Linked DNA regions of Schizosaccharomyces pombe. The gene in region 1 interacts genetically with each later gene. Each region holds a gene or a part of one and is shown in the gene's direction. Other genes may lie near its edges.

Region 1 (8,067 bases):
CCTCTGGATCAGACCACATCAAATCGCAAAATGAGCCTTCATGGGGAATTTCTTGAGCACGCGCAAGAATACGAATCTGATCCAATGTGCGAACTTCCGGAGATAATCCACCATGCACGCATAAAATTTTGTTATCGATAACCGCTGCCAAAGTCAAAAAATCAAAAACTTGGCAACAATATTTCCAAACATTTGCATTTCCATATTTGGTTTGACACTCATCATAAAACCCGTAGACTTGAGTGATCTGGCGACTTTCGTGATTACCACGAAGCAATGTAATTTTATCTGGGTACCTTGCTTTCAAAAGCATAAATAACGTAAAAGTTTCTAAGCTAAAATAACCTCGATCCACAAAATCACCCATAAATATATAATTTGTGCTTGGCAATTCTCCACCTACTCGAAACAGTTCCAAAAGGTCGTAAAACTGACCATGTATATCACCACAAACAGTAACGGGAGTCCGCACAGGCTGGATATTGGACTCCTCCATTAAAATAACTTTTACCATCTCACACAATCGTTTCAACTGGTGTTCTGGAAGATATTTACACTTCCTTACTGTAGCGATCCATTCATCCAAGTCAAACATCGTTGTAGCACAAATTATTCAAGGATCTCTTCTAGATTATTAAACACAGTTATTTCTCAATACTTTCCTATTTAGAAATTGGCTTCCTAATTAAATATGTTGTTTGCGGAGAGTACGTAAGTTAGTACGTTGAATACTTAAGAGGGGTGTTTAACGTATTGTAACGATTAACGGCGTACCAAGTCTTTATCAGATATGGATGTTTGGTACATTCAAAAGTCGTATGAAAAAGTCTACATGTGGAAATGACCTTTTATATACAAATTTATATAGTCCGCTGATTAAATTGGGATGTCGTCGAACACATTTTATCCTTATTGCTAACGTCAAATTTTGTTGCAAATTTTCTTAAATTACCGAGGTGGGATTGCTTTAAATTATAAATACTTGTAGAGTTTTAAACGATTGAAAGTCTAGGTCATGAGGCGAAGATGAGAGAGTAGCATAACGAGAAACGTTGTCTGTAGAACGACAATAAAAGTGTCGTTTCCATAACCTTTAAATATAGTAAGCGAATTTAGGATCAGTTCGAAGATTGTTGCAAGCGTAGATCCAACTTGTGAAAAACTTGCTTACTAAAGAGCTTTCAAAGTCATGAAGAATATATGATATCTTGTTGATATAAATGGCATCTCCGTCGTCAAGTATGCGAAACCGTAGGCAAAAGAAAAATCGTACAGAGAAGGTTACCGAAGCAATTGCTATTAATTGTTTTTTATCGAGTCTTCCGAGTTAACAGAATAAAGTGAATCTCTCATGCACAAGTTTATCAACTCTTAGAACTACTTATAGCTTTGATTTTTTCCTCAAATACTTATGGCCATAATTTTCCTTCTGAATAAATAAATTTACTGGAATTCAACGTAACAAACAAAATAACGCTATACCCTTATTGTGGAAAATATCGTAAAATATGATAAGCAGCATTACGAATACGCTTGAATATCCTATGTCAAATTGTGCAAAAGGGTGATTGAGTCCCAGTACCACGACATCCCGTCGCGTCTCATAGACGTAAACAAAACTTCTTTTTTCTATGGAAGGTATGTGTGCTTTTCAGAAATCATGGAACAGTTATGGCTTGAACATGATTTAAGTGAAGAATGGATTCCGCAGCCACAAGAACAAGGGTCAGACAATTCTAGTGAACCACCAACCACATCAAATGTAAACAATACTCAATCTACAGGTCGTGGTAGTTCAGGAACTTCGACAGAGCATGGAACGTTTAAGAAAGGAAGAAATGATGCTCCGGATGTTCCTCAATGGAAACAGGTGAATGCAAAGAACCCTGTTGCTCGTGATATTTTTGCAAGGTTGGATTTGGAAAATATGTTTGAAGAAAGCAGCAAACAAAGCCCCCCTTCAAAGTCTCCAACAAAAAATCCGTCCAAAAAGTCCAGTAATAACTCTTCTAGGCGTAGTTCTTCTTCAGTTGGTAAACTATCTAATGTATCGAACATGCAATCTTCTCCTTCTAAAGATCCTTTCGTTTCACAGGATTACGAAAAAGAATCTATCTCCTCTTCTCAGTTTAGCAAAAAATACTCAGAAGGAAGCTTGAAAAGTCAACAATCTAATACCAGGTCTAACTCGGTTCACGAAAAGCAAAATACGGACCATGCTAGCAATGCATCGTCATCCTCATCCGTTGTTTCTTCTCCCTCCTTGAAGCCCAATAATACATCCCCCCTTAAACTTTTCCAAGGAGCTAGTGATCCGTTTACTCGTGAGCATTTGAATCAATTAACTCAAGATGTAAAGTCCAATTCATTTGAAAATGGGGAAAAACAATTTTCACTCCCTGAACCACGAAGACCACAAAAACCTATGCGTACAACTGAACGAAAGGCTAGCCTCAATACCAAAGATCTCTATCAAGAGGTTGAAGAAGTCATGGCAAGATTGCGAGGAAGAATGCCTAATTCGGGACGAGAATCTACAATTTTTCTTCCTCGAAAGCTCAGCGGACTTCGTGAGGAGGAGGAACAAGATGAAATTTCAGTTGAAGTAAGTCAAGAAGATAGCTCTAATGCATTTCCCTCCTTAAGTGATCAACTTCATTTAAAAAGTCTTCAAAGTATGAAAAGGGTTACCTCAATTTTCAATGATAATGATGATTCCTTTCCATCCGCATCTTCCTCCCCTCAACGCCAGGCATATATGACCGATAAAATGCCACTTCGGGAAATTGATGTTGGCTCTTCACAATCCTCTTCCAAGACTGCCCGATTAAATAGCTCTCCCAAATCAACGCTAAAAACTTCCAGTGTTAAAACCAGAAGAAGTCACTCTGCTCAAAGCTCAAGAAAAGTGTCTGATTATCCCAATATGGTGGTTATAACGCCAGCAGATCTTCCTGAAGGCATAGATACAACTCAAGGCTCCATGGAATTTGACAGGATACACAATCGGTGGCGGAGAAAAGGTCATGATTCAGACTTGGGCTTTGATTTTGAAACCGACGAAGATGCTAGTCTTTCGCATCCTGAGCGTACAATACTGTTTAAAGCGGCATCCACCAGACATCAAGCGAACAATGATCCAAACAATTTGGAGAAGCAACAACCTCATTCCTTTCCTTTGCGTAAGCAAAATGTTGCTCAATCCGAATTTCCTAAGCATTCATTAAGAGACAATAGCGAAAACGCTCCGCAAATTTTATCTTCCTTTCACGATTTATCCTTACAAAATGAGAGCTTTGATGAAATGTTTAATGGCAGGTATGAAAATGGGTCACCAATTCCTTTTATTTCTTCAGGTTCTGGATTGAAAAGTAAAGCCGACAAAGATGCTGAATATAGTTTTTCAGTATCTCGTCAATCCATAATTCAAATTCTTTCTGATGTTGAACCATATGAGCCTTTCTGGAAAAGGATTATACAATTAGACATCAGTAGACGACATTTGGATTCCTTGATTGGACTTTCTGAACTCTGTCCCTCTATTGAAGAGCTCACGTTGGAAGGAAATGAAATTGCTTACTTAACAGGATGCCCCGTTACGATAAGAGACCTGAATGCTGTTGAAAATCGATTGTCAAGTTTGACTTCATTTTCCAACCTATTAAACCTACAATATCTGGACATATCATATAATCAACTAGAGGACCTTACTGGTCTTTCTTCTCTAATTCACCTTCGTGAGTTGAAAGTTGACAGTAATCATCTATGGAGTTTAGATGGGATTCAACATTTGGATGGATTGCTAAAATTAAGCGCTTGCAATAACAGGATTAAAGAATTGTCATTTACGAATTCCAATCTTCATCGTCTTGAGGAATTGCTCTTGGGAAATAACGAAATAGAAGAAATCGAAGAAATAAGTTCGCTTCAAAACCTTATGGTTTTACAATTGGACAATAACAAACTAACCAACTTGAAAGCTAGCCAACCAATGATTCATTTGCGAATTTTACGCATCAGCAACAACGCCATACATCAACTTGAGGTAGATCAATTTCCTCATTTACGAACTTTATACATGGACCTTAATCGATTTAATCGTCCCCCTGACATCCGTCGACTAAAACGCTTAGTCAATTTTTCGTTCAGGACTCAAGATCCTGAAGCCTCCAATTTTGTCATTCAACCCTCTTTAGATATTCGAAATCTATACCTATCGAATAACACCTTCGTTACTCTTGATTGTAAGCACATGTTTCTGGGAGTGAGGTATCTGGAGCTTGCAAACGTTCAGCTCAAAGAAGTACCTAAATACATTGCGACCAGTATGCCCAATTTACGTGTATTGGACTTATCACATAACTATATATCAGACATAGAGTCGCTGAAACCATTGCAAATGATCCACCGACTTTACTTAGTGGGAAATAGAATCAAAAAGATGCGAAATTTATGTGATATATTGGCAAACCTGAAACAGTTAAACGTACTGGATCTGCGCATGAATCCTCTTAATTTCAACATTTATCCCGTAATTGACGACTCTATTTATGAGCTCTCTGCAGCCTCAAAATACCAACAAAGTATCAACCAAAAAGGTCATCATAGAAAAGAAGACCCGCAAAAGCAATGGCAGGAGAAAGAGCTGGCCTTTAGTTCCACTTTGTCTGAGGCATGGAGAACAAGAAGAAAAATGTATGCTGAAGCTATTTTATTGGCATGTCCACACTTAGAATGGTTGGATGGATCTGATGTTTCACAATCATCTCGCGCTGCATTCACCAAATCATCCAACTAGTATGACTTGTGAAGATATAGCTTGAAACATTTTTACCTTTCAAATAGCAAGATTGTTTCGCTGTTGTGTAAAGGTTAATAATCACAATACATAATACACCATAATACTCGCCATTACCATAGTGTAAATAATAATTCGATTTCTGGATGGCACATACAAAATGAATAAGCATAATGAAACGTGAAGGTCGTCTAAAAATATATATATATTAAAAAAAAAGAAAAAGAACCCTATTGAAAGAATAAAAAATAAAAGAAAACCCCTCCAACTCTTCTTACATTCAACTAGCTTAAAACAGATAAATTCTATTGAGAAACAGTGACATTAAACACACACATATGTACCATATAAGTATCAACTAAATAAAGGAAAAAGGTAAAGGGGGGACGGTTAAAAAATGCTTTGAAAGTGAAATTAGAAAACATGTAGAGATGATAAATGATAGATAAAACTCGATTGGTCGATAATTTACGAGCGGCCCCATGAAAATCTGCTGGGCTTCTTGTCGTTATTGGCTTGAACATCATTAATCGACCATGGATTTGGAGCTGGAGCTGAAGCGGGATCTTTAAAGGGATTTTCAGGATCTCTAAACGGATTTTCAGGAGCCTGTTCTGCAGGCTTATTGCGCATAAACGGAAAGCGGAAGCCCGAGTTAGATTTCGGAACGGGAACGGGCTCACGAACAGTTGGGGCATAGGAAGACAGAGAACGACTATCGTTGCTAAAAGTAGGCTTCAATTTTGAGACAGAGCCTCCACGCTTGAGACCATCATCCTCGGAAATGGTATCGTACATAGGCTTTTCGGCAGAATAATCGCTGAATTTGGGAAGGTCTCCCTTGCGAGAAGAAGTAGAAAAGATATTGCTGCTGTTTTGCAAAGAGTACGGATTGTAACCCAAGCTGCCAGAGGTGGCGCGACGAAGATGCTTGGCCTGTAACCTTGTGGCTTGTCTGCGTGCAACAAGGAGTAAAAGCAAGACGATGAGTTGAATGCCGACATTGGCGAGCACAAGCCATGACGGCCATTGAATATGGGGGACAAAAGTGATGACACAGATAACGAAAGCAATGGCGGTGATAAAAATGTTAAAGAATGTTATGGTTCCAATGACATTGAAGAAGCCGGGAGAGCGGGCAATGGCACCAATGTGGGCGAATATAGTCATAATGGTGGATATGAGACAGATGCAGGCAGACACGGGAACAATCACCAAGCCGTAGGAAGCTCTTTGACGCACAATAACGGAGGTACGAAATCCGTCCTTTGCATGTTCATCAAGGTAATCCGAGTTGTAACCAACTAAAGGCTTGCTGCAATTTGAATTTAAGCAGTAACCGAAAACGCCAAATCTAACGTCTCCATACTTTCCTAAAGTAAGATTGTTTGCAAGAGGAGGAGTACATATAGCTAAGACGAAAAAGACAATGGCGATAACCAGTAAGATAAGGGAAGGAGTAGCACTACGAATCCGCATTTTTTAAAAAAAAGCGGAAAAGCTTTGGAGGGTGATTTGAGAGAGTAGTTTTTGAGCTTTTGCTAGCTACCAACAAAGTTCAACTTTGCACGGTTAGGATTTAAAGATTTCCTTTTTGTTCCTCTACAGCGAGAAACGATCAAAAAAGAGATGAAATCCGAGGGGAAGGCAGAAGTTGAGAAAGGGCAATTTGGTACGTAGCAATGAACGAAAAGGCTCTCAATTCGACTAAAAGTGTTTAAATTACCAATTCCTAATATGGAAAAAAGAAATAATTTGTCCTTGAAGTCGCTTTTATGTATTTGGCGGAAAGGCGATTTTTGGTGGTGAGATATGATGAGGTTTTTGTTGTTGGTTGTGGTTGAGTTAAACGTTGTTTGACTTCATTCCCCCTTTGCGCCACACTTCAGTAGTACGGTACGCTACGCAACTGAACGCTAAACATTGCTAAGGTAAATTTGTACCGAGGTAGAAGAATGCACACGGTGCGTTACTACAGTATATGGGTAGAATTACGAAGGTACGGGAGGAGCAGAATGTTCACAAGCAACAACTCCCATCTCCTTGAAAACATCGTAAAAAAGCGAATTTGTTAGTGTAATGAGCATGATGAATCGTAACATTGGCTTCCTATCCAGAACATTGAAGACGAGCGTTCCTAAGAGAGCGGGTTTGCTCAGCTTTCGAGCTTATAGTAACGAAGCAAAGGTGAACTGGCTTGAAGAGGTTCAAGCAGAAGAGGAGCATGCAAAGCGTAGCAGTGGTATGTGAATTGTGGGAATAGAAATTTATCTTACTAACGGGTTTATAGAATTCTGGAAGAAAGTGACTTATTAGTATGAACATGAGGAAGTGAAGAATTTGTGTGGTAGCTAACATTTGCCAGCATTGGTGGACCAGCATTGATATTGGCTAGTGCCAATGCGTATTATATTTGTACGTAAAAGTGTAATGTGAAGATTTGCAACGACTAACAAGAGATAGATTGCAAGCATCAAGAGCATGCCAAGCATGTTGAAGATACGGACCCTGGTTATAGGTATGAAGAAGATAGAGAAGAAATGAAAGGAAGGGACTAATGAATGGTTTAGCTTTGAAAATTTGCGCTTCAAAAAGTATCCATGGGGAGACGGTAGCAAGACACTTTTCTGGTAAGATGAGAATGAGAGAGAAGAGAGGAAAGAAGGGAGAGATTATGTTTGTATGAGACAAGGAAATTTACTAATGATATACAGGAATGATAAAGTCAATCATTTAAAGAAGGATGATGAATAGGCATAGCGTTCTTTAAGCCTTTTTGCACGACTCAATTAACCCCCATACCATGTAGCAAGCAAAGAAGAACGAATAAGGTGTTGGAGGGATGCATAACGGAAAGTGTGTTTTTAGCAATGCTAAAAGGTAATAGTGAGACCATACGGGTTTGTATTGCCAATAGCTGTTTTCTTATCAATAGTGACTTTCAGCATTGGATTCGTTATTTGTTTAGCGACGTACAGTGAATAATCATTGATTTCTGAAAAAGCAGAAAAGAGAGATGAGGTAGTTGAAGGAGGATATGGAGACAGTTGCATACTATGTAAACAAAATGAATAAGTGATGAGACTGAAAGTTGGCATGCGAAAAAGAGAACGAATATATATACAAATCATTAATATGCTACAAGTAGTTCACAGTCTGTTTCTATCCTTTTGACTTTTTTATTTTTACTGTTTAAAATTATATTTTGCATTAGTATATATGTAACATTAAGATTATAAGGAATTATTAATCTCAAGATAATAATGAGT
Region 2 (6,763 bases), on another chromosome or scaffold:
GACGGGAACGTAATGTCTCTGTCTTTTACTATCGATCTCACCACGATCAATCAAGTTCAGTAGAGATCGATCATCATCTCTTCCGGCCAATTTTTCCGTGTTTGGTGAATTCGTCTCGGCATACGTAGTAGAGTCTCGGGGTGTGTTAACTAAGCTAGAATTGTCATCATTATATTCGGTGTTCATACCAGTGTCGTTTTCTACATCTTCATCTTGTTGAATTGTTAAAGGTCTGAAGGGTCTTTTTTGAGATCTTGTGGATAATCCACGTACAGGGGTGGCAGGCGGATGTTCATCGTCTGTTTCTAGTTTGTAGGCATCATTGCCTGTACCAGAATCACTGCCGTTCACAGACACTTCTCTAGAATGTACTGACACATTATCTTCTCTTCCGGTCTCAGCAACCAAAACGCGCATCTCCAATGCAACTTCTTTTTAAGGTATTATTTTATATGAAAGTTTCCAAACAATACCCAAATTAATTCAAATAGGGAGGTCTTGAAAATGCAAACAAAGCGGAATTAGGAAATTAAAGAATAGGGAAGAACGAAATAGGAGGGATATAAAAACGCAAAGTAGATTGGGCAATCGAATAATATCAATGATGAGGGAATATTTTTTTATTGAGCAAGATAGAAAAGAAATTCGAGTAAAAAGGGAGATTAAAGGTGGATAGGAAAAAAAATGGAGATAATTAAATTTTGAAATTATTCGCAGAAAGTCGAATGCTTGGGAAATGCTATACACAAACGCTGTAGATGAAATACCAAACACGAGCAGAACTTCGGCATAGACTTTTTGTGAAATAAAAAAGAAACTTAAAAAGGATGCAACGAAGAATGGAGTGAAGCTATAATCAACAAATCAATCAATCAATCGGTATATGCACTTAAAATTTGAACCAGCAAATACCACTCGTAAAACCAAAGATGAAAATCAATAGATAAAGGATAAAAAAGAAAAAGAAAAAGAAAATTTTTAACAAAAAAATAATTTTGAGCAGAAAAGGCGTGGCTGTTGCTCAAATTGAATTGGAATTAAAATCTCTCTCTACTGTTTGCTTTTGCCGCTAAAGAAATTTAAAACGCAGACTGCACCAAGAGAACAAAATTTGTGTTTCAATTCCTGTTATAAACACACAATTTAAGTAAAAAAAGCAATAGCAGTGTAAATGGTTAAATTTCCGTTGTTTAATTCATGTCATAATTATATATACTCAGAATCCCATAGTCGTAGTAAGAAGGTAACAACGACTGGCCAGTAGCGGGAAACGCATTTTAGGGAACAATCCCTCGATAGTAAGATAAATCCATTTTTTTGAATTTACTTCCATTAATTAATAAAATCGAAGCAGAAAATCTGATTATAACTAAAAGAAGACTATTATAAATGTTACTTTCTTCTTTTTTTCATCATTATCTGCGGTTAGAAAAAAAATTAGAAATAAAGGATTCGATCTTCGTCAATATGACATTTTGGGGGTGTAGGGCTAATGAAACCAGCATGTTGGGAAATCCTTCAAAGCCACGATTTTTATAGAATCTTTTAAATTATAAATTCCTTTTTAAAATATATAATTGAATTTAGAAATGGCATAAAGGAATTGAATGAAATTTTTAGATTGGTTCGCAACCTGGATGGCAACCATTTGTTTGTTGTAAACAATACCTCTTTATGCGGATGCTTCTTTGTAAATAAAAGAAAATGAACATAAAGAATCCTTGAGAAGAAAGAAATCATAAGAAGAGTGAATTTGAACAAAAAAACAAGTGACATAAAAAATATAAAATGAAATAAATCGGTTTTCTTTGTTATCTAATTGTTAAAAAGGGCTGGTCGGTAATTAAATAAATGACTGCGTCCCACCAAGAAAAAAAGAAAGACCATTCCATTTTAATTTCAAATTCACACGTTTCTTTTATTAGATTTTACTTTCTTTTCAAATTCTTCCTTTATCTTTGCTCCAAGTCAATGAAACCCTTTGATTAATTTTTTCGATTTTTTTTTTCTAACATTATTATGATTTTAATATATTTTAATGGATTTTTTATTGTTTCAGAAATTTTTCGTTCTCCACTCAGCTCTCAGCTCACATTGAATATAGATCAAAGACAATTGTCTAAAAAAATAATAATAAAATAATAAACATCCGAATATCAATTGAAAACTGTATCATCCTCATTTTCTCTTACTATCCCAACCAGCCTTTGATGATAAACATTGGCAGAAGCGGCGGCCCTTTAACTCTAATGCGGGAACTTAAAATGTACCAACAATGGATCAACTTTCGTAACTTGATATATCTTTTAAAAATCGTGTAGATATTATCAATTGCACATATTCTGGAATTCCCAATTCTTCTTGTCTTGTCTCTCATATTACACAACTTGTTAAGCATAGACTAATGCATCTCGTCATACAACGTTAAAAGATAATACTGTGTCAGTGAATGAAAAAAGGATGATAAGCTGAATAGAAATGAATTTCAAAATCGCCGTATTTAGATTAGAAAAATTCCTTGCAATTTTGCTTCACCACCTTATTGTCTTGTTTACGTTTGTATCCAAAACATCGATTCATTTCTGTGCAAGCACGCGTCCTTTTCCTTTTCCTTTCCCCTATAATTAAGCCAATGTGTTTTTGTTTTGTTATAATTCCATATTAGAAAAGGAATCTGCAAAAAATGAAGTCTAAACACTGTCCAAACAGTCCAGTTCGCTGAGAAGTTTAAGTTTATTACTCTCAAAAACAAATTCAATGGTGTACAAAACTGATCATCATTCATCCCTTGAGACTATAACGTTCTCGTTTTTTGTTGATCGAGCTCAATAATAAATCATTTATCATTTATCAATGATACGTTTTTTCAATAGCGATTTACTTCAATGTCAAACCATGGTTGAACAAATCGTAAAGCCAATTTTAATCTTTGCTTTTGGTTTATCGCAAAATCAAATCTCTGTTTTCTGATTGAACTTCAAGAACTTTTTTTTAAACTATTATTTTATAGGAATTATTAGATTTGTGAAAGCTGACATCAAATACGGACTTCTTTCAAAAAAAAAAAAGGAAAATCATTTTCTCCTATCACAAGTATATAATCCCAAAAAAAAGACTTTCCATCAAATTGCAAACGCTACAATGGTTCCATATCCAATTTTCCATTGATTTATTTACAATAAAAAAACTACTTCCATCCAATCCTCTTTGCTCAACACGCTACTTATCGTTATGCGATTATAATGCTCACATTCACAAAAATTCCTCCATGCTTGATTTACCGAAATGATTTAATCCTCATTATCCATGACTGTGAGGAATAGAGACGTCTCCCAATTCTCCCTTTTTCTCGCCTTAGCAAATACAGCAGGCGGGAATGCTTCAGTCGTTCTACTATTGAGCAGTCACGGCATCACTGGGCTACGCTCTTGTGGACCAGCGCGCCAAGAATCGCAAATATTAAATCTGTCGAGAACGACGAAGAAAACGATCTTGTTAGTAAAAAGTGAAGATCTAAAAGAAAATATTTCATAATGGGCAAGTTGTGTTTTTGATCATGAGTTATTAATAATAGGTCCGAAAAAGGTTTGTTTAGGTAATTAGGCATGTTTGCTGAACGATATCAGAGTACGAAAATGAGTTTGAACGCCTTTTTGGGTGACGAGTCGTTTGGTTCGACTAACTGGGCTGATGATATTGATGATTTGCCAGCTTTGCGTAAGTATTTTGTTTTTTATAATGGAAAATTTTGGATTGAATTGGAGTGGGGTGTTTTTTAGGAATCCGAAAATTTCTATTAATTTTCGGCTCTCATTTTTGGGCTCCATCATTTTTCTATTTAATCTTTTGAAATTGCTTAGCTAACTCAATTTATCTATTAGCCCAAGACCGCACCACATCTACGTATCGTGCTACTCCTAGCTCTGCTGACGCCGGATACAATGCTCCTTCTTCCACGTTTGAGTCAGTTAGAAGTCCTCCCGAAAGCCGTCGCGAGGGTGGAATGGGAAGTGGTTACCAACGTGATGCCATTCCCATCCCTTCTGAACCCCCTTTTACAGCTCATGTTGGAAACTTGAGTTTTGACTTAACAGAAAACGATTTGGGCGACTTTTTCGGCGAAGGTGTCACTAGCATTCGCCTCGTCATTGACCCTCTCACTGAACGCTCTCGTGGCTTTGGATATGTTGAATTTGAGACCGCTGATACCTTGAGCGCCGCTTTAGCCTTATCCGGTGAGGATTTGATGGGACGTCCAGTCCGCATCACTGTTGCAGAGCCTCGTCGTTCATTTGCCCGTGAAGAACGCTCTACTGGTGACTGGGTTCGTCGTGGACCTCTTCCTCCTGCTGAACCTGCTGAATCTCCGTTTGGCAAGAGACGTACCAACAGTGGTCGTTTCCGTGATCCTGCTCGTGATCCTTCCGATCGTGTTCGTGAAGAGCCACGTGAATGGGTTCGTCGTGGACCCCTTCCTCCACGTGAATCCTCTGAGCGCCCTCGTCTTAACTTAAAACCTCGTTCCTCCTCCAACGTCAACACCGAAGCTACTCCCTCTGCTACCACTACTACATCTTCCAAGCCTAAAAGAGATCCTTTCGGTGGTGCCAAGCCCGTAGACAATACATCCGTGCTTCAACGTGTTGAGGAAAAACTTGCCAAGCGTACTCAGAGCTTCCGTCGCGAGGACAATGCTAACCGTGAGCGTTCTACTTCTAGAAAGCCTTCCGCTGATAAGGCTGAAAAGACCGATAAAACAGATGCTATTGCTGAGAAAGTATCAGATATCCGTTTAGGAGACGGTGAGAAAAAGAGTTCCGAAACTGATTCGGAGGTCGCTGCGACTAAGACTCCTGCCACTGAGGATGCTCCTGCCACAAACGCTGGCGAAGCAGAAGAAGAAGAGGGTTGGACGAAGATTGGCAAAGGCCGTAAACACTAAACCTTAAAAAATGTCAATTTTATGTTATTTCGCTTTGACATAAATATGGAAGTAATGTTAATATCGTTGTTTTGGGGTTCTCTATATAATAAAACAGGTATAAATAAACACATACACTTTTCCATTAAATCGAGAGATTAGCTGCTAACTTATATTTTAAGATCTCTTGTTTGTTTCTGTTTTGATATTTTCTGGTTCCGCCCATCGGCTTTGCATCTGTTTCAATTGCATATAGAAAAAAGCGGGTTGACTAAGCATACTTTTCGTTGATTTTATTCTTATAATGGTGCCTTGGTCGTTTTAGGTTAAATTTATAGTAAAATTTGTTTTGCACTTATATGTCGATGTATGTTTGTTTTTTGTCATGTAATTAATAGTAGTATATATTACTTTGCCGTCTTAGCAAAGATTAATGGTCATTAAAAGTCAATACTATCGTATGAAGTGAACCAGCTATTTCAACGGATATGAGAGTTATATTGTTAAATCTTTATGACAAATGTGTTCTTAAAACTTGCTATGCCTTTGAACACAGGATAAAAACTTATAAAAAATATGACCCCTAAGTGACTTGAACACTTGACTTTGAGATTTGGAATCTCACACTCTACCAACTGAGTTAAGGGGCCTTCGCTTGATCTCATAAATATTTAATATTATAGATATTAAAAAAAAGAATGTACAGCATAAGTTGTAATAATGAAAGTCGAATTGGTAAAGTCAAAACTGCTTAAGTAGTCAGTTGAAAAAATTAGCTTTTCTTTCAGCTTAACCTAGAAAGCCTTGGTGTAATTAATGAAGACACAAACGAGAAAGTTGCTTCAAATTACAACATTAATGGATTTTGCGAATCCTTACACTCTCCATGTAGCACTACATGCTGAAAAAATAACAAATGGTTTTGGAGCAGTTATAACAATGGAGTACAAAAAAATTTTCTAAAATAGTTAAAATTAGTCAGTTTAAAAACCCTTATTTTTTCTTAACTCGTCAAGTACACCAGCAATCTAATTTCGCGCGTAAAAATTTGTTTCACAATCTGAAAAAAAAGGTACCAAAAGACCAATCATCAAGGCAAGTGTACAGCTTTAAACCATTCATGATATTGCTACAAAATACTAAAAGTTATTTCAAAAATTTTTCAGAGGCAACCATTTCAAATATAAAAAGTATAAAGAGGAAAAGAAAACAAACGATAAGTAAATGAAACCTAATTTTATTCTTTTAAATAGCAAAAGCAGAGGAACAAAACGTAAGGATCCTTTCCAATTTAGCATAGATTTATGAGACATACCATGGGACGATCACTACGCAGATACAACCCCAAAAAAGGAAATTTTAGCATTCTACCAAACCCAATGCAATTAGGGATAATAGAGCCTGAACAATGTCAAGCATTAAAAAGTATAACATATGAAAGCTCTCAGAAACGGGTAAGGTGGTTAAGACAATCCGAGGGATTAGACTGAATACATGGGTGAAAATAAGGGAACGATTTATGGAAGAAAAAAGAAAATTTTTTATATACGTAGACCTTTATCCAATTTCAAGAAATTTTTATATAATTAAAAGAAACTTAATCTCGAGGCTTGGAGAATTCACATCGTAAAATCAAATTGTTCCAACCGTAACCATCCAAGCGATCACGAGCCTTGATAGCACAATCTCTATCGTAATAACTGACAAAGGCAAAACCTTTAGCACGACCAGTTTCCTTATCCTTTGCCAAATATACACGTTGAATACCACCAAAGCGACGGAACAAATCACGAAGTTCCTCTTCACGGGTATCATCAGATAAGTTAGTGACACGAAGAGTGG
Region 3 (10,426 bases), on another chromosome or scaffold:
AGATGAAATAATCTAGGTTTTAATTTACCAAATGTAATTTTCAAAAATTTGCACGATGCTTCAGTCCATATGAGATTCCTCTTTAATAAAGCTAGCAACTTTCGCCAGAGTATTAGATTAATTGTTTACTAGCTTAAAATTTGTTAAAAAACTCTGTCCTATTTTAAAATGATTACTTATAAAATTTATTCTTCTTCCGGAAATTTAATTGAGTTTATTTTATTTTTAATTTCACACTAAATACGTTGAACGGATTTAAGTTGCCTACTTGCGTTGCACACGATGTGGTGGCTTAAGTCGCTTACCCTAGCCGAACCGCTTTCAACTCATCTTGAGCATTTATACTAATACTCTAAAAAGGTTCCTTTTATAAAAGAAGTATAGTTAAGGCTCTTTTTGTTTTCTTTTTAACCCGAAGTTGATGGCACCTACGTTTTTTTTATCCACTCATATATTATTAAATTGAGAATCTACAACTTAAAGAACTGGAATGTGATTTATATGGATGATTTGCTGAACTCTGTTAGTTTTTCGAACGCCTCTAATCCTCATAATGCATGGGGTAGTGAAAATATATCCAACTCGAATTCAGCAATTCCCTCAATTACTAACGATGTCAGTTTTTCAATGGAGGCATCAGTCTGGAAAGAAAATGCTCTCAATCTTGACACATTTAATTTGAAAGATATTAATGAAAAGTTGGATTACACATTTGGCGTTGTCAAGCCTCCTAAACGGATTTCATTGGCATCCAAAGATTATATAGGTATTACAGCTACCTCGGAAACCAATTTTAGACAATTAATCCGCTTAGGATACAATGAGAAAAGTTTAGGAGAACTAAAACAAGGAACCATTAGTCGTTTACTTAAAGAACATATGACTTTATGGAACCAAGAACGGTCTAATGTAAATCGAAAAAGCAATGTGCTTTTTTGTTGGTCAACAGCTTATCAGAAGCAGAAAAGGAAAACAGCAAGCTATACCAATTCACCTGTCACACCGCCCATCAATGACAAAAATATTTTGTTACCGGAACAGTCTCCTTTATCTAATTTTTCTACGACCAAGATTTCCAGTATAAATGTTCCTTCAGATATACTTGATTTTTCTAATTTATCATCGAATGAAATTCCCAAGGATTATTCTTCTTCTACGGCTCTTTTAAATAATACAGTTGCTGTTAAACAGGATCACAAATTATCTGCAAATACTTTCCTTTCTTCCCCAGTCAAATTGATTGAGAGGGAAAGCAACAGTTGTTCTACAATTTCAATAAATAAAGAGGATGAAGTTGTTCCAAAATCACCACTAAGTTTGGATCGTAAAAAAGTTGATGAAGTCGAAGAACATTCATCAATCGCTAAACTTGACTCTGAAGAAAAAATTAGAGAAACGAAGAAAAAAAATTCATCAACGTCTCTTTCCCCGGATCCAACCTCTGATAATTTTGAATGGGGTTCATGGGTCAGTTCCCAAGATACCTCGAAAAACTCATCGAATTTAGCTTCTGCTTCCGTTGATGATGTAAGTGAAGAGTCTCAAGTTGAGCCAAATACTCTAATTTTTCAGAATTTTAGTTCACCTTCTACTTCATTGTCAGCTCCTAAAGACACTCCGGCTGTTATTCAATCGATCAATACTTCGTTTCTTAATAATGAGAGAGCAGGGCGTGGAAATATAAAAACAGTTGACCAAAATCAACTAATTAATAGAATTGTTGATAAGCTTCCGGATCTTAGTTATCTTGTCGATTGAAAATCTTAATGATCAAAAGGTAAACGTACTAATTTTAATCACATAATGGCTAGAGGAGTTATTGTTATATCTATGCCCAAATGAATATTAACTTTATTGTGAACAAATGTTAACTTAAATAAATCAATTCTAAAAAGATGTAAGAGGAATTGCATCTTCAAACAACGTGTTGTGAATATACAAATGTTTACTAATAGATTGAACGAATGTATACCATTCTCTAGGGGATGAAGGCATGTCAGTTTTATCATCACGATTCCAACATGTGAGGTGAAATGGTTTAAATGTTTTACGTAATCGCGATTCTTCATATTCGCTGCATGAACAATGCAATCGCTTTTCAAACAAATACACTGGAACATGAAATGGATGATTGGGCAAAGTTATGGATAGCGGTAGAGTACCTCCAAAGGAAAATATCCCTCCAAGCTGGTATTTAGTAGACAATTTATAACAACTATATAAAGCAACCATAGCTCCTTGACCAAACCCGAAAAAAAATATTCTAGAAGATAATATACCGTAAGAGAGTAGATTGCCAATTAAATTTGAAATCATCGTAAAACTTTTAGAGAAATCGGCTTCAGATTGCAGTTCCCCGTTTTGATCAAAATGGACATCCTCTCCCCACATCCAATTGCCTCCAGGATTTTCAAAATCTAATGGTAATCGATATGGTCCACGTAAGGAAATATAACTAGTGTTGGGCAACGGAACGTTCTTTGCCATATTTGCAAAACTCTTGTGAGAATCTCCAAGTCCATGCATTAAAATAACTACATTGTGAACCTTGTCTTTCCCTTCAATAATCTCTGCGCATGCATTTGAAGGTAGAACACTGTTTAAAGAAGACATTAGATAAAAGAAATACTAAACCCCGAGGTCAACTATTGAGATTAAACTTCTTGCCATTAACTTGGTTCTGTGTCAACAGTTTGTTCCTGAGCCATACGTATTTCCCGAATTATTTGAGCTATTGCTTCTGGGTGTACGTTGTTTTCACAAAGACTGATGCAGAGTGAAAGCGTTGTTTTATCAAGTTCAGTTCCAAGCAATGTTCCTATTTCGTATAAAACTTCTATTGTCTCTTTGGTAGATTCAGACATAAAACTCGATACTTTATAATAAACTAGTCTAATTATATATACTTCGTAACAAGTTGGTAATGTTAAGTTTACTGGAATAGGCGTCTCGGAGTAGCTCATTATAATCCTCTAAGTAATAAACAAAGTACTTCGTGGTGCATCTAGCTTGTGCTTGTAAAACGAAACCGAAAGTAGGCTCAACCTCAGATTTGAGCAGTCAAAATATTGATGAAATGTATCCTCTCAATGCTAATTCTTATACTCTGCTACGGAAATTAGGATCAGGTTCATTTGGGGTTGTCTGGAAAGCACGTGAAAATGTGTCTGGCGACATTATCGCTATTAAACAGGTAAGACTAATTAATTTTTACTCTTCTTTAGTATCACAAAAAACTTACAGTTGCAGATTGATTTAGAAACAGGTATTGACGACATTACCGACATCGAACAAGAGGTATTTATGTTATCGAATTGCAACAGTTCCAATGTAATTCAGTATTACGGTTGTTTTGTTGACGGATACACATTATGGATTTTGATGGAGCATATGGATGGAGGATCAGTTTCGGGACTTTTGAAAATGGGAAGGTTGAATGAACAAGTAATTTCAATCATTCTTCGAGAGGTCCTTTATGGGCTAAATTATCTTCATGGACAAAACAAAATCCACAGAGATATCAAAGCCGCCAATATACTACTATCTTCCTCTACCGGAAACGTAAAGCTTGCTGACTTTGGAGTTGCCGCTCAACTTTCGAACGCTGCTTCGCGTAGACACACGTTTGTTGGAACGCCATTTTGGATGGCACCGGAAGTAATACAACAAACAAGTTATGGTTTAGCTGCTGACATTTGGTCTCTTGGAATTACGGCTATTGAAATGGCTAACGGAATTCCGCCCCGCGCTACAATGCATCCAATGCGTGTCATCTTTGAAATTCCTCAATCCGAGCCTCCAAAGCTAGATGATCATTTCAGTCCAACATTCCGTGATTTTGTGTCCTGCTGCTTAGATCTCAATCCTAATATGCGATGGTCAGCTAAAGAACTCCTTCAACACCCATTCATCAAAAGCGCAGGAACTGTGAAAGACATTATTCCTTTGCTTGTTCAGAAGGAGAATAAATTATTTGATGATTCGGATCAAAGTGTATTGGAAGAAACCATAAATAATACTTTAAAGCCCTTTGAAGAACCAATTGCTGAAGGAAATGCTGACATTGAGGATTGGACATTTGAAACTGTAAAGAAATCTGACTCAACTGTGTTAGGGAATACTAGCATTCCTAAAAATTCCATCATCAGTTCACAAAATAAAGAGGAATTGCCTTCATCAATAAAATATTTAGAGAAAACTATAATGAGTGATCAAGCGACACCGCATCCTTTTTCCAAGTCATTGTCTGAAAAAGGTAGCTCTTATCATAAATCGTTGACTTCCGATTTTGCTATGAAACATTATATTAAGTCCACCATACGATCGATGTTATTAAATGATAAATTGTCAGCAACGCAGCGCTCATCTTTAGAATCTTTTTATACATCTTTCATTTCTTTAGATAAAAATCTGTCCTCAAAATTTGTTAACCAAATTACTCCAGACAACAGACTGCATCACAAAAAGCAAAAGCGGAGCCCCATATCACAACTACTATTTTCACGGTGGCTTGAAGAAACTGAGAAAAGAAGAAGTCTAAATGGATAGCTTACTAAAAACTCGTAAACAACCTGTTTACAGCATTCACAATTTTGTATTTAAATGAACTTATAATGGCATATTCTACTATAATTTAATCTACATAATATATATAAACACATCCAAACGAGAACTATTCGAAATCAACTTGACACTTGCTTTAAAGCATTTTGTACATTCCAGTTATTTCCAGACAAATATTGTTCAGCCGTTTGATAAGACACAGAAGTATAATTCATGACATAGGTTATTCTGGTTGGTTAGCAAAATTCTCCAAAAAAAAACATACTTAGCCTTTCTCTTAAATTCATCAGCATACTCAATCCACTTTCGTTTGACCACGTCCCATGTGGACCCCTGAGATTGCGCATTTACCATCTTCGCTTTGGAATGTATTAAAGCAGATACTGGTCGGTGATCTGATGCCTTCAGTTCGTACCTGGTATAGTTTTCTGCAGAGATGTAGTCGGGACTTCCACGATAACAGATACGATCACACCAGGCAGGCACACGCTTTTTTTCACTACTGTCGTACTGCTCACTATGAACGTCGTACTTGTAAGTTGGGGCAAACGTGATTTCTGGTTCAGTAAATGTTCTCAGACGAAATCCGGCATTTCTTTTTCGCTCAACAAGAAGCTGATCGCTTTGGAGCAAAGTTTTTATGTCGTTTTTTTTAATTAAATCTAAAGCTTTAGGTCTCAATGTGTTGATTCTATAATTTAAATCACCATGCAAAACACAAACTTCGTGATCCATAATTAAAGAGCCATCGCCACCACCAACGAATGTATTCAATTGATCAGTTTCATCATTTTCAGGAAAAAGAGAAGCATTGTCTAAAATTGTTGCCAAATCATTATTTCTGGCTGCTTTATTGGATTGACCAGCAGCCAAATGACAGTTTACTATGCAATATGAAGTATCATCTACCAGAAAGCGAACGACTATTGCACCTTTGTTACCATGCAAACCACCTAGTCCCGTTTTTACAGTTGTCGATTGTAACATCCGAATTTTGCTTTGTAACTTATTTTTTACAAAAACACATGAGAAAAGACCAACCAAATTTTCACATACCAAAACCTGATAATCATCGTTTGAGCTTACCCGCATCATTTCAGATTCTAATTTTTCACGCCATAAACGATACTGACTGGAAATATTAGCACTGTTAGACGAACCACCTTTGGAGCTCGACTTTGAAAGGATGCTTCTAGCTGTGAGTCTTTTATTCTCCAAATCAACTAGCTCTTGAAAACCAAACACAACTATATCTGGGTATCCATTGTCTCGAATCATCATTGGAATCATACTAGCTCCAATAGTATCACTATCTAGATCAGATGGCTTTGAAGCTCCGGCATTCCAGGAACAAATAAGTATAGACACGTCAGTAAAATTACTATATTCTGGGAAGCGGCTTCGCATTTCGGTAGCTAACCAGTCACCCATCATTAAACCATCCCAAAACTTGACAACTGAAGAAGCCATACTAACAACTTGGAGCCTTTTAGCTTTCCATACGCTATTCACATCAATACCAAGTATAGTGGTAGCTCCATTGTGACTTGCTTTATGACCATGCCAACTTTTTAAGAGGCGCCAAGGACTCTCAGAAACATCAAATACGTAAATCATGCCTGTCGTGTAGGCTGCCCAAAGTGTATTTCCAACACCAACTAGTGAACAAATTCTATAGAATGAACTGCTAGTAATTAGCTCCAAAAAACGGTATTGGGTTTTCGAAAAGATGGATATTTTTCCATCAACGTGACCATAGAAGACCAAATCCGTAAAGTTTGAAATAGTAGTGCCACAAGAGATATCACCTATCAAACCAGGTGGAGTCATGGGCTTCGCCAAAACACTTGCCGACTCATTTTCTGAAGTTGAAGGATCATATACATAAATTGATTTCCCAACAACAACCCATAAAAGCCGATTATCTAAAACCATAGCATGAGTGGCATGAGGAATGGTGCGAATACTATGTGGAGTAGACTGTATACTTAAACCCATAATTTCATCTTCCTGCCATACATACAGTTTTCCCATATCGTCCAACGTCCACATTTCATTTTTATAGACCATAACGTAAGTAATAGGACAATTGGAAACAGACTTCTTAGTAACGATATGATGATTTTGAACATCGACTTCCCATAACATCCCATCTCTCGTTCCAAACCAAACAAATCTGCCATCGTCAGAGTAATTCTCCGGGGATGATTTAAATGATAAGGACGTTACCTTCGTATCCCCTAGAGGCATATGCCAATGACAAAGACCAGTAACGGTGTCATAAACACGAAGTCCTCCGTTTCCAGCTAAAACAAGGCGATCACCACTAACATCAAAGATTCTAGCTTCAAAATCTACGTTAATTGATTCAACACCGTTAACAAAACAGGGCGGGTTCCTCCTAACGCTAGAAGTATCTGGTATGCTTCCTTTTAAAACAACATCTAATTGCGATGACGAAGAGGAACTAGCAGCAACAGAAGGATCACTTTGCTCAGTAGAAACAGGCATAGAGACAGGTTTGTTAGTAGCTAAGGATTTCACCCTCGGTGGTGGTGGAGGAAACAAAGGGGATGGTTTAGAAGATAAGTTTTCAGATGTTAAAGCTGGACTAGACAGTTCTGATAAAGTGTGACTAGGACGGGGAGGTAATCTGGGTTTCTCAGGTATTAAAGACATCTCTGATGCAGGAGCAATATGAGTGTAGGGAGACGACTGTAAACCAGTAACAAGACTGGCGTCACTTTTAGTAGCCAAATTCTCTATTGGGGAAGAAGAGCGCTGGGTAGAAACTTTACGCAGCGGTGGTTTTGGGGGCTTTCGGGGAGATACATGAAGCGGTAATTGTTGAGATATTACCGCACGCGATTGCTGTATAGCCTCAACAGCAACTGGCTGTGGAGGTCTTGGAGAGGGAATTGGAGGAGGAGTTTCCAAAGACCTGTCTCCAATGTTCAAAACAGGAGGCGCCGTCGATATGGGACACTCCTTTCCAAAGGTCTGGCTAAATGGATCATGCAAATCAAAGGAGGGCACACTTTTACTAGAATTGATAACGTTTTCTTCTTCTTCTTCAGAAGACAGAACCGAAGAGGCTTCGGAGTGAGTTGGAGACTGAGAAATATATGCCTTAACATTTTTTAATGGAGATACAGATATCGGGCTTGAAGAACCTGCTTTCGAAGAAAAATTGGGTTTAGGGGGTGGTATTTGATGATTATTGGTATCATCGTGTTTCATTAGATCATTTCCTTTGGTAGATTGTACAGATGATTGAAAAGAAATTTCAGGCCCTTTTTGTTGAGGTCGCTTAAGTAATGGAGAAACAGAAACAAATGAATTAGATATAGTAGGAGAAGATGGAGTAGCTACGTGAGATTCAGAAGAATCACTAGGTAGACGATCTATTTTTGAAACATCAGCGTGGGGGTTTGAAGGATTTTTAAAATTAGAAGCTAGCCTTTGAATTGAACCACTAACTTTTCGTCCAGTCGAACTTCCTATAGTCGATGAGACTTGCCTCGGCGGTGGAATAGGTCTTGCTTTAAAAACGTTTGGCTCAGAAGTGCCATTTTTACAACCTTTTACAGTTCTTCTTTTAGCAGTTTTTTCGTCCAAATTAGTTAGGTCACCGGTACTCAATGACTCGAACTTTGATTTCAATGATAAAACCGAAGGGGGCAACTCGGGTTCATCTTCATTCACATTGCTGAAGCCTTGGCGAGAGGCCATGTTCCATGATTACGACAATCTTATGCTTTAAATCAATTTTTTAAATAAATCACCTTTTTTAAATACTTCTAAAATCTATTAGGTGCTGTTTGGACCTTTTGCGCTTTTCAGCTAATTGTTGGAAAAAGACAACCAAGACACTGCGTGGGCTGACCTATTATGAAATAAACAAAGCCTCGTGCACTCAAACACACGCATCAACAATACTCCAAATAATCATTTTTACAGAAAACAAAAGGGAAGATGATGTAGAAATTCGCATAATACAAATTAGGAATTCCAAAAAACTATCAAATATTTTTTAGGCATTTGTATTGCTTAACTAAATAGTTTACTTCACATTTATAGAAACAATTTTGAAAGCCATTCTCAAGGCAATGAAAGATCATATTGTCATGTAGCTAAATATTTGTAACATATTATTAAGCATTGACTATAAACACACATTGCACAATTTTATTTCAGAAAGACACAAAACGAGAAATTTTAAGTACTTATGCAAGAAATTTTATAAGATACAGAAAATTTATTCGATATCAAAATTATATAAAAATTGAGCAACTTATGAAAGCATATGTACTATACGTTGAATAAAACCACAATAAAAGAGTGTATAAAGGCATAGAAAAAATAAAATAAAATCATATAGTTAATTGATTGTCTAAAGAATGTAATTTATACGGGAGGCAAGATAGACGTTTGACATTATGTATTAGAAATGAAGGACCATAAAAGATGATAGTATGGTTCACTAGCAAACAAACCCAAATGATAATTGGGTATCAAGTTTCGTTATATTTTAACATTATCTCTAACGTTTGCGAGAGCTGGTAGCCGCCTTTAGTCGTTCGATTTCAAGTTCAATTTGTTTTATTTGAACATGCTGAGCTTCCAAATCTTTATTTAATGAGTCGCGTTCGGCAATCAAGCGTTGTTCCCATTGTCGAAATCGAGTTTCTTCTACGCGCACTTGTTCTGTAAATCTTTTTCTCAAATTTTCTTCTTCTTCCTTAAATTTCGCATTATCAATAGTCCGCAGTTTAGGTTCTCCATACTGGCGAACTTTCATCTGCTCTTGTCGATATTGCTCATACAACTTTTCTTCAGTAGTTTGAATCAAATCAAGCATACAACTCCGAATTAAAATATTCCTAAGCTGTTTAAAGTCGCAGTGTTCTTCGTTCTCAATTTCAACAATTCCCCATGGGTATTCTCTACCCTTAACGACCCTACCATCAGGAGTACGGATGTCATCTTCGCTTCCAACAATCGCGAATGGCATGCAATTAATGATTCCTTGAATTTGTCTGTGAAAAACGGGATCGCCCTCATCCATATTAGGTTTATAAACATTGACTTGATGGTATTCTAAAACTTGAGAAATTCTAGTTTTATACAGAGCTAAATCCCTTCGAGTATACATATCGGCTTTAGCTATGACAGGAATTAAATTGACACGCTTAGAAATATGTTTCATAGCCTCCAAATCCATAGGCCGAACACCATTTCTTACGGGACGCAAAAAATATAGGCAAGCATGAATACGCATATCAATGATCTTACGACGATCTGGCTGCTGATCTTGTCTCATGTACGATTCATGCTGGTCTTCTATAAATTCAACTACCGACTCCCAACATCCTGAATTATTGATAAAATCCCCAAAACCAGGGGTATCAATTACTGTCAACCTTAAGTGGAAATTTTTTTCTTCTAACTCAGCTTTTGTAATCTCTATTTCGACCGTTTTCTCAGCATGCTTCGCACGAACCTTTTCCGGGCCCATATGTGATTTAATTGTTGTTGAAAAGAGTGTATTACAAAATGTTGTTTTACCAAGACCCGACTCTCCACAAAGCATCAAAGTGAAAGCTACACCATTTCGTGAAACTATTTTGTGACGCTGATTAGGTAAATCCGCAATTCCAACGAAGTTTGTCTCTTCTTCATTCATGACGCGCAGAGATGAATAGTATATTTCCTTTGTTTAACGGTCTGTAAAATATTGACTTAAAAGCTTCCAAACTAAATAAAAAAGTTTCCAAAAAATGCAAGAGAATTGTTATTAGTTTTATTAAAGCATAAATGGTAAAAAACGGAAGGTCTAAGTAAATAGATAATCGAAGCTTCG
Region 4 (6,493 bases), 1.4 Mb from region 1:
TACATAGGCCTCGAGAGTGCAAGGACGGGGAGTAAGTAGAGAGGAGACAGGCAACCAATACTCATATACGCGACTGTCGCACACAGTGTGTGGAGAAAACGAATTAAACGTCCTCGCCATTTTCCATACACGAATACAAGGTGGTAAAATATCGTTGACCAAATTCACCACATGAGGTAGAGGTTGATTGTCCAACACTTTCAAACCAAGAACATTAACAATGGCATGTACACCCTTGTCTGTTCTAGCAGCAGAACACATTCGGATCTTCTTGGGAGAGTCAGCATTCACCTGAACAACGGCGCCTACTCGAGCGAATGCTTGGAACAGTGTATCTTGTATGGTTTTGACATTGGCATTGTACTGCAAACCAGCAAAGCCAGTACCACGATAGCTGACAACACAGTAGACCATTCGTTTCCGGGGTTTCACCGAAATCGAAGAAAAGAAAACCCGATGTCGTTGGAGCAAGCAAAGCACAGATTGGTTGGCAGAGAACCTTGAAGGTCTTAAGAGACTATGCATAGTTTGAAAGATGAAATTAACTAAGCAAGTTTTTAATGAAAGAGAGGAAAGGTACTACAGATGGCATGTGCTCAAGCAAAAGTTAGGATATTAAAAAAATATTAAACTAAGGGTAGAAGCACTTCAACTGTTTTTCATGAACAATATAGAATATTACTATAATTTTTTGGAAAGAGCCCTAGCTTCCATGAATAGTCTTACCCACAATACCCTGTTGTTTATCTATTTTCTTTTACTAAACCAAGCTGTACATACTAGATACCACAAAGAAATACCTTGTATCTCCTTTCTACCCCTTTGAATGGACAATGAAGCCGAAAATTTGCCGTTTTTAGAAGGTCCTTTTTTTTCAACTTTTATCGAAAATTAATTTTTTTTCAGTCGTTTCAAAGGTCAACCTACAAAACTAATTCTTTTCGTTAGCAACCGCTTTCTTATCAATCTTTGCTTCTTTATTTACTGTTCTCTGCTAAATTTTCGTTGATTTATTTAAAATACCTTCTAAACCATACTTTTTCTTACTACCCGGGTTTTGACAAATTTTTTTCTATGCAGCTCTATCCGGCAAATGTTAAGGGATTGAGATATAGTGAATGTTGCATCTTAACCGCTAACCCATCGGTTCAACATTTTGTCATGCATGATGATGCTGGTGTTCCTCTAACGTACAGCGTTTCCACACTGCACGCCGAACTTACCGACCACCTATACCTCCCAACCACCAGGAAAACAGTCGCAGTAGGCAAGAAAACGCTTTTTGTAGTGCAAAAAAAAAGATTTAAGCCGGAAACATAGCAGAATAGCAGAAATTTGATATTTACTGTTATCATCTCCATTATTATTTGGATTAGTTTTCGATTGTCCTTTCATTCATCTAATAACGCTTGTTTTTCTTTTTTCTTTTTTGCATTCTCAGTCTTGGTTGTTTTGCTATTTATTGCGTTCCTCGGTTTCTCCCTATTAAATATTTTCTTTTCATTGTTTTTACGGAAATTCTCATTTTTTCATCTTAGGGGCTCGTTGACTCAGCCTGCACGACAAGGAAAATTATATCCGTTTCGGAAGCACAACGTGTGTGTTGAAAGTCTTACTTTTCTTTTTTATTTTTCTGTACCCTTTCATTGAACTTTAGCCATTTGTTGCTTTGTTGAATTTTGGCCATAAATAGTTTTTCAACTGGGTTTTTATTCGACCTCCTTTCATTATTCATTTCATTTTCATATCTATCCATTTCTATCCCCACTAAACAATTTTGTGTTTTTAGGATTTCCCTATTCTCAATCCATAAAATAGTCACGATTCGTTTTCATTCAGATACCCGGCTCCTTATTTTTTTTTTTTTCGAAATTTTATTCACTCGTTTGATTTCGTTGATTCATTTCTTCCGCCTTTTACTCATTACTTAAGGGTATTTGCTTATTAAACGTTTGGTCTTTTTTTTTGCCCATCTTTTTGTTCATACAAAGTTTTGTGACATTTATATAATATTTAGTCTCTTCGTTTTTGTGTGGGTTACCTTTTTTGTTTTATTCTTTTTCTTTTTTTTTTCTCTTTCTTCCCTCTTTGTTTTTTCTTCTGACCCTATTTTATGCCTTATTATTATTTTGATCAAGTTTCAATCATTTTTTCACAAAGATTTCATATTCACTTTACTTCTTAGTTTTTTTCTTTTTATTTGAAATTTCTTGGAATCTTTTTGCCTTTTTTCTTTTAACTTGATCTCTCTTATTTAACGTTACTTAGAAAAGCTTCTTTTATTTTGCTTTTCCTTTCATTCTTCGCTCCTTTATAAACCGTGTTCATACTTCTTTTGCTTACGTTTTGCCAATCTTCCCAGCAATTTTACTTCTATCTTGATTGTTCTTGTTGTTGGATATTTACTCTTTGTTGATAGCGGTATATTTTATTTGCTTCTCACTTTTTGCCCGATTGCTTTCCTTTGATTTACCTCTCCAAAAAAAAACAAGTGTCTTTTGTTTACTTGTTTGTATATTTGTTTATACTCTGCTGATTGAAAAGTTGATTGTTTATTTTATTTTTCCATCTGCAACCATTTCTTTTTTTTTGAAAAAAAAAAAATCGCTAACTGATTTTTTTAAGCATTTCGAATACCTTCGAAGTCTTTTTATCGATACTTTTGACGATTTCTTCCTCATAAGCCTTGCCCTAGACTTTTTGTTAGCTCGGTATTTTTGCATATTTCAGTCATCTTTTTTTCATTTTCAGTTTGTGTTTTTTGCTTCACAGTTGTATCTGTCTCTCTTTTAGCAACTAGAATTATTTGTGGTGGTCAACAGTTTACCCTTTGCTCTCGTTTTCTTGAAGTTACAGTCTTTCTTTTATTATCTTCGTCCAGTATTCTAGGTTGTTGCCCTTCTAATTCTTTCGCGTCAAGTATTTGGATTTTTCTAATACTTGCTAACAATTTTTACTGAATTTTTTATTTTTCTTCATTGCCCTTGCTTATTTTTATTACTTACACACTTTCTTTTTAGTCGACCAACTAGGTTTCTAACTTTTTACTCCACTTATTAACTATTTCGTGTTATTAAGCTTGAAGCCTCATTTATTATCGTTTGGGGTTTATTTAACAACTACTGCTATTTCATTTGTGTTTTACTTTTAGGCATCTATTGCTTATTTTGGTTACTTTATCAACCACTTTGTCATTCTTTTTTCTCTTCTTTTCAATTACCATTATATATAATTTGCAAAATGTTTGTGGGATCACCGAGCGCTATTGAAAAGCCTTTATCGTTATCCAGTAAGACCAAAGTCGGGGACGAAACCGAGTTTACTGAAGATGCGCTACGTGGTTCATCGTTGGTTCCAACCGGTATTCTGAATGGAGATGATGAATGTCATGCTCTTCACATGTCTCCTCAGGCTATTCACAGCCAAGCTGGGAAAGCTGAATCTGACGGTTTACCTACTTATGCATCTGTGGAAAAATCCACAACTCCGATTGGTAGACTCCTCTCTAACCTCAACGGTGGATTAGCCTCTGCTCCTCCTAAGGTTGGATTCGGTTTTCCTAGATATTATGCTTTGCGGATTGAGGATTTACCTAGGGACTTAACACCCAGAGAGTTTTTATGTACCTTTTTATTCGCTACGAATGTAGTATCCGTCGAGCTTAATCCTGTATCCGTGGATAATGAAGTTGCTCATGGATTGGCGGTGTTTTCATCCCGAGATGCTGCTGCATCTGCTAGAGACACTTTGCTATCTAGCGATGTTTATTCCGCGTGCAGCATGATAATTTTAGACAATTATCGAAAGGGAAGTCAAACAAATCTTAGCGACGAAACTGAGGGCTCTGAGAGTAGTGTTTCATTTAACAGACTGTCTCGAAACCATTCTCCAACTCGTCCACTGTTAGGAAATCGTGATCTTTTCCGCAGGTCAAGTAATCATGTGTCAGCCAGTATGCCTACTGCAAATCATTCGGAATCTGCTTATCGTCATTCAAAAACACCTTTGGGTGATAGCACTTTTCAGGCTCCTAACAATGGAGGTAGTTTGCATTCCGATAGGTTGTGGTCTTCTTTCCCTGTTTCTTATCCTTTAACACTCGCGAATGTGTTAGCCAAGGATGAAGTTGGTTCACCTACGTGGTCACCCACTCCTTCCAAAAGTAGTACCAATTTGCGTCAAGACGGTGTTCCTCCGATTTTGCGATTTAACTCATTATCTATTAACACCAACGTGGCGCGCAATTACCTTTCATCTGAAAAGGGTTATAGCGCTCATACCCAAAATTCTAGTGCTCAATCACCCCATCCTCGTGTCTTTTCGGCAAACAGTGCATTCAGTACAACAAGCCCTCCTCCCTTGACACCATCAACATCAAGAGACTACCCATTTTCAGCTTCTACCATTTCACCTTCCACACCATTTTCGGCTTATTCCTCCAGTCATGGAATTCATCAACGCATCCCTGCTTCTACCCCCACGAATACCAACCCTGCTGATCAAAATCCTCCTTGTAACACCATTTATGTTGGAAATCTTCCTCCTTCTACTTCCGAGGAAGAGTTGAAAGTTTTGTTTTCCACTCAAGTTGGATACAAAAGACTTTGTTTCCGCACTAAAGGCAATGGCCCCATGTGTTTTGTTGAATTTGAAAACATTCCATACGCCATGGAAGCCTTGAAGAATTTACAAGGTGTTTGTCTTAGCAGTAGCATTAAAGGTGGTATTCGTTTGAGTTTTTCGAAGAACCCATTGGGAGTGCGCTCATCAAGTTCATCGCATAACAACCATAATGGAAACGTTCGTAACCTTCACTCTGGTTCCATGAATAATTACAATACAGACTCTTTGCTTAATCATACTGGTGGACATAACGAAGTCCACGCCAGTCCCAGTTGGGGTAATAATCTAATGTATGGCAAATAGCTCATCTAGCATTTTCTCGTCTTCATTTTATCATTATTCATCAATACCTTGCAAGGACTTTAGGTCCAAATTTTTTAAGCATATTGTTTCTCTTTTTTTTTTTTTGAGTTTTGCATATTGATTCTTTGTTAATCAAAAGTTGCGATCTATTCCACTTTGACTGCATGCAACTTTAACCATCTGTTAAGCTTAATTACAATTTGTCGATTTATGCGATCTGTTTTATTTCACTCTTATATAAGATGGGTACTTGCATTGTTTAGTTGTCATTAGGATTTATCATTTGCTCATCATTTCCATATACTTCTGCTACACATATCAATTTACATAATAATATCGACTTTTGCTTCTAAATGAACCCATCTTAAATTGCTAAACAAGTACTGTAACAACTTGGTTAGATGTATTTTTATTGTAACACCCAACTTAAGCTTACATACAAGAATTTTTAGGATACATTGATAAGCAAACACTTAATCCTTTTATAAATATTAGTATAGTCTAGGTGAATAAAATATTTCCAACAAAAACTGTATAATAGTAATCCCGTCCTTTCCCTATTAAGTTGAAATTGATTTACTTTTTTTAAAATTGCGAGGAACTTTAGGCATGCTTCGTCCTTTTCACAGGCGGCTGTTTTGAAGTGCTGTAATATTCTGACTCCGATTCTGACTCTGAAGAAGTTTCAGAAGTTTCCGAATCCAAACTTTGACGTTTCGCAGCTTCATCTTCGACATTTTTGGGTTCTGAATTGCTATCGGCCAACATAGCTACCATACAGGTAATTCGATTGCCTTCTGGAATGTTATGCTCAATTACTAAGTTCCAATCTTTATCCCATATACATACTGAACCATCCGAGCTTGCAGTAATTAAATAATCATCAACAGGGTAGACAGATTTGACGCTAACTTGATTAGAAAATTTTGAATTTTTAATTTGTTGAGTATAGAATATAAAAAGACACTTACCGTTTCTTATGCGCCGTAAATTCATGTAAAATCTTCCCATCAGAAGTATCCAAAACCAGTACTGTTCCATTATCTCGTCCAACTATCAATTTGGATTGATAGAGACACAAAGCGTTCAATTGAGATTTAGAAGAGAAGCTGAAAAGGGAAGTGAGATCCTAAAAATGTATTAGTAATTTATAAAAGAAGGAGGAAAATTGCATATAGAAAAATGCATAAATTCTTACCAATTTAAAGGCATCAATGCCTCTTCGTGACATAATAACAAATGACGACTCATTCAGGAAAAGAATAGATTCTGGGATAGTGCTTAAAGGTAAAACTTTACCTCCTTTACCTCGTACAAGGTCCCAGAGCCGCAACTTTCCATCACCTCCAACTGTTAGGGCCAATTTTTCTGAAGGGTGAACTGCTATACCAGTGATGCCCTTATGAGAAGATGACTTAAGAGTATGAACCAACAACCATGAACCTTTAGACCACATACTGATTTGCCCGTTATCATGACATGCTAAAAGGTGATTTTTAGTAAAACACATATCTCGGATACATGCATTGGCGATATCTGTAGGAACAGAAACATCGGCTATTTGGAC

What was found.
Region 2: of cdc11 (region 1) and sce3, extra expression of one rescues a mutant of the other (dosage rescue), as found in Schizosaccharomyces pombe (2 studies listed by BioGRID).
Region 3: mutations in cdc11 (region 1) and sid1 are lethal when combined (synthetic lethality), as found in Schizosaccharomyces pombe (2 studies listed by BioGRID, with this or other methods).
Region 4: of cdc11 (region 1) and scw1, a mutation in one rescues a mutant of the other (synthetic rescue), as found in Schizosaccharomyces pombe (2 studies listed by BioGRID).

The regions. Positions count from the first base shown.
Region 1 is NC_003421.2:2,046,146-2,054,212, reverse strand, and holds cdc11 (SIN component scaffold protein cdc11), read left to right. Parts: upstream 1-1,609; 5' UTR 1,610-1,660; coding exon 1,661-4,798; 3' UTR 4,799-5,083; downstream 5,084-8,067. Other genes in the region: serine/threonine protein phosphatase PP6 catalytic subunit Ppe1, read right to left, coding at 1-595; protein mug33, read right to left, coding at 5,267-6,277; cox13 (cytochrome c oxidase subunit VIa), read left to right, coding at 6,878-7,040, 7,089-7,113, 7,164-7,213, 7,262-7,316, 7,369-7,428, 7,513-7,552. UniProt on the Schizosaccharomyces pombe protein: Essential for the onset of septum formation. Involved in the organization of astral microtubules during mitosis. Acts as a bridge between sid4 and the other SIN proteins mediating their association with the spindle pole body (SPB).
Region 2 is NC_003423.3:1,773,668-1,780,430, reverse strand, and holds sce3 (translation initiation factor), read left to right. Parts: upstream 1-3,461; 5' UTR 3,462-3,533; coding exon 3,534-3,537; exon of another isoform or gene 3,538-3,574; coding exon 3,575-3,585; exon of another isoform or gene 3,586-3,626; coding exon 3,627-3,717; exon of another isoform or gene 3,718-3,881; coding exon 3,882-4,942; 3' UTR 4,943-5,262; downstream 5,263-6,763. Other genes in the region: SPOM_SPBC18H10.05 (WD repeat-containing protein), read right to left, coding at 1-417; tif307 (translation initiation factor eIF3g), read right to left, coding at 6,519-6,763.
Region 3 is NC_003424.3:1,982,681-1,993,106, forward strand, and holds sid1 (PAK-like GC kinase Sid1), read left to right. Parts: upstream 1-3,017; 5' UTR 3,018-3,076; coding exon 3,077-3,193; intron 3,194-3,249; coding exon 3,250-4,548; 3' UTR 4,549-4,682; coding exon of another isoform or gene 4,683-4,791; 3' UTR 4,792-4,828; coding exon of another isoform or gene 4,829-8,295; 3' UTR 8,296-8,554; downstream 8,555-10,426. Other genes in the region: SPOM_SPAC9G1.07 (Schizosaccharomyces specific protein), read left to right, coding at 502-1,527, 1,573-1,758; SPOM_SPAC9G1.08C (phospholipase), read right to left, coding at 1,888-2,613; putative mitotic spindle organizing protein Mzt1, read right to left, coding at 2,670-2,864; inp53 (inositol polyphosphate phosphatase), read right to left, coding at 4,683-4,791, 4,829-8,295; mitotic septin Spn4, read right to left, coding at 9,107-10,249. UniProt on the Schizosaccharomyces pombe protein: Has a role in the septation initiation network (SIN) required for cytokinesis.
Region 4 is NC_003421.2:670,236-676,728, forward strand, and holds scw1 (RNA-binding protein Scw1), read left to right. Parts: upstream 1-3,240; coding exon 3,241-4,926; 3' UTR 4,927-5,016; downstream 5,017-6,493. Other genes in the region: pus3 (tRNA pseudouridine synthase), read right to left, coding at 1-525; SPOM_SPCC16C4.21 (uncharacterized protein), read left to right, coding at 1,075-1,320; p21-activated protein kinase inhibitor Skb15, read right to left, coding at 5,530-5,833, 5,898-6,055, 6,125-6,493.